2 linked regions of the Kluyveromyces lactis genome follow. The protein of the gene in region 1 purifies or fractionates together with the protein of each later gene. This does not show direct contact. Links are inferred from orthologs where the notes say so. Each region holds a gene or a part of one and is shown in the gene's direction. Other genes may lie near its edges.

The links.
Region 2: the proteins of RSM28 (region 1) and AIM23 purify together in Saccharomyces cerevisiae (affinity purification with mass spectrometry; 3 studies listed by BioGRID). This does not show direct contact. The link is inferred for Kluyveromyces lactis from reciprocal best matches to the Saccharomyces cerevisiae genes RSM28 and AIM23.

Annotation. Positions count from the first base shown.
Region 1 is NC_006039.1:1,053,247-1,056,429, reverse strand, and holds RSM28 (mitochondrial 37S ribosomal protein mS46 RSM28), read left to right. Parts: upstream 1-1,397; coding exon 1,398-2,411; downstream 2,412-3,183. Other genes in the region: TPT1 (tRNA 2'-phosphotransferase), read left to right, coding at 277-987; CORVET complex subunit VPS3, read right to left, coding at 2,500-3,183. UniProt on the Saccharomyces cerevisiae protein: Component of the mitochondrial ribosome (mitoribosome), a dedicated translation machinery responsible for the synthesis of mitochondrial genome-encoded proteins, including at least some of the essential transmembrane subunits of the mitochondrial respiratory chain.
Region 2 is NC_006041.1:1,376,536-1,379,867, forward strand, and holds AIM23 (Aim23p), read left to right. Parts: upstream 1-1,563; coding exon 1,564-2,607; downstream 2,608-3,332. Other genes in the region: URA2 (bifunctional carbamoylphosphate synthetase/aspartate transcarbamylase), read left to right, coding at 1-892; KLLA0_E15401g (uncharacterized protein), read right to left, coding at 2,713-3,332.

The DNA of each region.
Region 1 (3,183 bases):
ACGGTCTCTATTATTTAATCAAACTCTATTTTATCATTTTTACTATGCAACTTCAAGGCGTTTACGTACGGTGCCTACAGTGCACATTGTAATTCCTAAGTTTACATCTATATATACGTTCGTGTGTGTCATCTGACTCATATTAGGTTCCATCCAATTATTTTTTCGTTGTCATATATATTTCATTCCATTAGTTATGTATGACCGATAGAGAACGACATGGTCAAAGCTATTGGGGAAAACAGAAAGTGCTAAGCTCGATTTAACTGAACCATTATGAACACCTCGCATTCGCAGGAACCTAAGGACAGAAGTGTGAAAATTTCGAAAGCATTGGCTTATTTGCTGAGACATGGTGCTGTGAAGGAAAACTTGCCTATAGATTCTGATGGTTACATTGCATTGGATAGAATACTGCAGCATAACAGACTCAAAAGCTTGAAAGCAACGTCAACAGAAATACAGCATATTGTTGCTAGTAATGACAAGCAACGATTTCATATCAAAACTGATCCGAATACAGGGATAATGTACGTCTGTGCAACACAAGGACATACATTGAAGCAAATTGCTCCATCGCAACACGTTTTAAAACCAATTACCAACATAGAACAACTATCAAGTAAATTGGTTCATGGCACCAACGTATCAAACTGCATTTCAATTCTTCACTCAGGTTTCATCAAAAAAATGTCACGGAACCATGTTCATTTGTCTCCCGGCATTACTGGAAAAGATACGGATGTCATCAGTGGAATGAGAAGTTCTAGTAACGTTTACATCCATATCAAAAGGATCCAGGAAATGCTAGACAGCCTCAACCTTGTGAAATCATTAAATAATGTTTACCTAACTTCTCAGGACATACCGTTGAAATTTATTGATTTCATCCAAGTACGGAAAGGCAGATCTGCAGCATCTAGTGAACAACTTCAACAGCTAAAAAAGTTGGCTACAGAGATGAAAGTTCCAATCGAGATTATCTGAAACGACTTGATCGCTTTATCTATACATATATATATCACCTCTTAATAATTAATTGACTTGTTTTAGACTTTCCACTGACAACATCAATTTTTAGACGAGGCATATCGCTGTATGTACTCGCCGTTGTATTAAGTTCATATCAAAACGTCAGAACCCACCGAATGTTGTATTCCTTCTGTCATCATAAGAAATTTAGATCACGTGTGTTTTTATCATTTTGAACGCCTTGAAAATTTTTGATCTTTCATAAAACCTATGAGAGTGCGAAACTCGTTTCAGTATGATGAACTTGATTAGTTCTTATGGTATCACGGAGATATTTAGGTATAGGGTTGTAATAAACCAGGTAACGCTATATCAAGTTGTGATCTGTTTAAGTGTGTGACTAGCATTAATATATTTACTTAATAATGCTAGCTTCTACATTCTCTAAAAGGGCTTATAGCTCTGTCTCTCCGGACTTTTTAGCATCAGTTTTGCAAAGAGTGAAGGAAGTTCCTATCAAGGCAAGAGAACCACGTAAACCAAGATCTGACAGAAAGGTGAGGTCAGCTGGGAGGGAAGATAAGAGACAAACAGCAAGATTTGATGACAGATCCGGAGGAAATAAACCCAGGGATAATAGACAAGTCCGTAATGGTCAAGACCGTGGTGGTAAAAATTTTAGAGAAAGAACACAAAGAACGGATACTAGAGGAACCAATGGCCCGGTAGTACAAACAGGTACGGCTAAAAGACAGACACCAAAGATTACCGGTACTAATGAGTATAGTGAGATTTCAGGCAAAGTTCAAAATTTGGGTACCAGACAGAATCGTAGAAGCGATGAAAGGAAAACTCGTAAAACCGTTCCAGGGTTGAAAATTTCCAGTAATTTGGGATCGGAAAACGTTGTGCAAAATATTCACAACTCGGCTGTATATGTTCCACAAGATCCAACACCGTTATCGTTGCTAAGATACAGACCTGCTCTGGCTCCAACTTTCAGTGCAAGGACATTCAGATATGCAGTTTCAACACTAAAAGACGCCGACTTCCCTGTGCATCGTTCATTGAATGATGGTGTCACAATTAATGGAAAGAACGTCAGTAAGCGTATGACAGCGAACAAAGACAACTTTGGTGAATACGTGCCAGCTTCCATTTTGAAATTGCAGGTGGAACCGTTGACAAAAAACATCCAAATTTCTCCGGATCTAGAAAAACTTGAGCAATCCGTCAAGGGTAGTTTCCACATTCTCAAGCCATACACAAAGAAGGACTTTGCCAAACTAACAAAAGCAGAAGACAAAAGAGAGCAACTTCTGCAAAATAGCGAAATTGTGAGAAAGAGTTTAGAACAAAGCAACTTGGCTTCAACTGAAAAAGAACTTTTGCAAAAAGTCTGTTCCGGTTTGGCACCAGTCTCTGAATTGACAGCTTGATTACAAGCCAGATCGCCTATAGACAAGATTAACCTCTATTTTTCATGTATATATTTTCACAATGCACTTAATGATATATCACACTATTTCACAGTTCTAAACAACGTTCGATATTGTTTATATTCTGAGTACGATGCCTTAAAATTCCTTTCTTAATCTGTAGATTATATGTTGATTCGTCTTTTCGTCTGAGTAACGGAAATAGGAAACCCGATAACACTGATATTTGAATGGTTGGGGGTATTTTTTCCAAAATTTCTATAAGTAGCCCAGAGTCGTTTATACAACACGTATTCTTGTTAAGGAATTGACTAATGACCCTAGTATTGTTGAGACTTAGATAGTGATCGATAACTTTCAGCACTACCTTATCGTTGGCTTGTAACAAGGACTCCACCGTAGCAAAATCATTCCGTGATAAATATATATCAAGTAGTTTTTCGAACCCGATCTTTTCCTTTAATACACTGATATCTGTGATCATGATTCGTAGAACGAAAGAAGCATCGATATCATCAATAATAGAACCTTCTTTTATATTTAAAGCCTTTTCTATTTTCAGAAGCTTGGTCCCTACATCGAAGCAACCCTCATATTCCTTTTTCTCACCCAGCTTATTTTTCAAATACTCTTTGAAAGGAGACTTGTTATATGTCATGTTGGTAATGTACTCCGTAATTGGTAAATTGGAACTTTCTATTAGCTTGCTGTTCAAAACAGTAAGTTTAGCTTTATAGTACTCGTAAAGAAATGTCAAATCTTGGGTGGAACT
Region 2 (3,332 bases), on another chromosome or scaffold:
ATTCAAGCGTTCTGATTTCCATGCTCTCTTCGCAGTTGCTCAAGAGCTCAGAGCTGGTGTTGAAAGGGAAGGTGTTTTGGACGTCATGAAGAGCCGTGTTTTGACTACAATGTTCTACGAACCATCAACCCGTACATCATCTTCATTCATTGCTGCTATGGAACGTTTAGGTGGTAGAACTGTCAACATTAACACTTCTGCATCTTCTGTTAAGAAGGGTGAAACATTGCAAGATACCATCAGAACATTAGCCTGTTACTCTGATGCAATTGTCTTGAGACATCCAGACGAAATGTCTGCCCACATTGCTGCCAAGTACTCACCTGTTCCTATCATCAACGGTGGTAACGGTTCTCGTGAACATCCAACTCAAGCCTTCTTGGATCTATTCACTATTCGTGAAGAATTGGGTACTGTCAACGGTATCACTGTTACCTTTATGGGTGACTTGAAGTTCGGTAGACCAGTTCACTCCTTGTGTCGTTTGCTACAACATTACCAAGTTAGAATTAACTTGATCGCTCCTAAGGAATTGAGGTTGCCTAATGCCTTGCGTAAAGAATTGCAAGATTCTGGCTTATTAGGTATTGAAAGTGAAACACTAACACCTGAAATCATTTCCAAATCCGATGTGTTGTACTGTACAAGAGTGCAACAAGAAAGGTTCGAAACCGAGGAAGATTACTTGAAGCTCAAGGACACTTACATTGTTGACAATAAGATCTTGTCTCATGCTAAACAACAGATGGTGGTCATGCACCCACTACCTCGTGTTAATGAGATTCGTGAAGAGGTTGACTACGATCATCGTGCAGCTTACTTCAGACAAATGAGATATGGTTTGTTTGTCAGAATGGCATTGTTAGCCATGGTTATGGGTGTTGAATTATAAAGGAGCTAAACAGATTCGCGTTCGGAACTTTTTTCAGAATCAATCCAAAATCAAACAAAATAATTTAAACATGGAAGTAAATCGTTCATTTTACTTTAAATTCATCAGAAGGAATTCCTTAAACTAAGAAAACTCTTTTTTTGTGGGGACTTGAAAAGAGATATTTAATCGGAGGAAGAAAACTGATGAAATATGACTAAACTACCTTCATCTGTACCATAGTAATACAAGGACTTTCATAGTAGGAAAATAACTTCCTTAAAATTACAAAGTGACTTTTATCTATTGCACTTTCTATTCTTTGAAATGCTCAAAATTTCAGATACAATTAGTATATTTTGACATATATATCATTTTGTCGTACATATATAGTTCAAAGGTTTATCCTTACATTCACATCTGCATCGTTTAATACATTAATATTTCGCATCGACTTTATTTTCATTCTATTGTTCTCTTTTGTTTGAACCTATTCAGCTGTCAGTCTCTAGGCAAAACCAGCAACATATTAGTAAAAATGATCACGTGACAGATATCAACGCTTTCCCTTCTCTGTCAGAATATCTCAAAATCTTAATATGAAAGACAGTTGTATTTTTTTGATTTGATTAAGTTCAAGTCATCTCCGATGATAGAATTGCCTTGAAATGTGGTACGTTGGGCTGAAATAAATGAAGTACCACTATATACAGATGCTCAGAACTACTTTTAAATACAGCATTTCTTCAATACGTTTATTTTGCAATAATCGGGTTCTCCAGAACGAATCAAGGGCTGTATCGGATCTTCTTTTTAACCTACCAACATACAATCCAGCGACACATCGAAAGAGCGGTAACAATTCTCCACATAAAAATCGTGATAAACACCGCCATAGAAACGGTAATAAAGATCAACGGAATAAAAAACTTGTTTTCAGATGGAATAGTGGAACAGAGAAACAGCAGGCAGCTGCCAACTCGGTGCTAGAGGAAATACTAGCAATAAATTCAAAGGGTAACATCAAGGCAATCAATCCAGAAACTAGCAAGCTAGAAGAAGCCAATATTAGGAACTTTTTGAAGGGCGTTAACCTTGAGATAAATGGGATAGCTATGGTGAGTATCGATAATGCTGCGTCCGGAGATGTTCGTCTACCCATTGTCAAAGAAGTGCCAACAAGACAGGCATTAAAGAATTATTCCGACAAACTATCTAAAATTAAAGAAGAAGAACTTATAAAATTGGGTGTCAATATAAAGAAAACTGGCCGTCGCTCTCCAGACTCGAAAGCGGATTCATCTTGGAAATCAATCAAGGTTTCATGGCAAATATCGGATTATGATTTGAAAAAACAGAAATGTAGTGAAATTGTTTCTAATTTGGAAAAAGGTAGCAAGATTGCTCTTTTCATTAATGATAAAGACTCTTCTAACTTGTCACCTATAGATGAGGAGGAATTAGAAGCGATGCAGGAATCTTCTATTTCTAAAAAGGAAATGAAAAGAAGGGAAGAGGTTTTGGAGAAGCTAAACGAAATAATCAGCGAATATTCATCACAGATTACACAAGAAGGTTTGATCAATCAAAGAATAATTATGAAAGTAACTCCAAATCTTGTAAATACTAATAATGGAGTTGATAAAAAAGCTCTCAAGGAGCAACGGAAACGGGAAAGGCAGGAAAAGCTGCAACGCAGAATTGAGAAGAAAAAAACCAGCGATTCCACCGAATAACCAGGAAATATCTCGGACGATAGACGTTATAATGGCATATGTATCTTGTAAATATTGATAATTAGCGTACATATATCGAAAAATTTCACGTAATTGTGATGTATTCTAATGAATCAATAATGCTCCGATTAGCGAAAGGTCATGTAAGTCACCGTAGCCAAATTGTGGAATGGAAACTAATAAGTCATCTAATGGGGACTCAGCCAAATTGGAGCCGAAATTAGACCAACCCTTTTTCTTTTGCTCGGGGTTAACGAATTCAAGGTGTTTTAAAGCGGTTATGAGCAAATGTTTGGATCTCCAAAGTTCAACTGTTCTCTTCATTTCTGACATAGAGACACTCCAGATAGCACCAGCGCCATTAAAACTGCCCGGAGAAGAAAGAAATAGCCTTTTCCGGGAGTGTGAGAAGTGAACACCCTTACCAAACTCAATAGAGGACTTGACAGTGTTAAGGTCAACTAATGTGTCAAGTTCCAATATTAACCAGACCTCTAGTGCAGAGTTGCCAGCATCTTTGAATATGTAGACCTTATTGAAGAGCAACTGTGATATTGCAATATAATCTACTTGATCATGAGTCCATACGTGCATTTCTGCACCAAAGAATCCATGTTCAGAGGATGCTATAATATCCCCCCATTTCCATGGGACGTCTTCGCTAGGAAAGATGATATCATCCTCTTTAATGTAAAACGATGGTGGAATTCCTGTATTTAATTGTT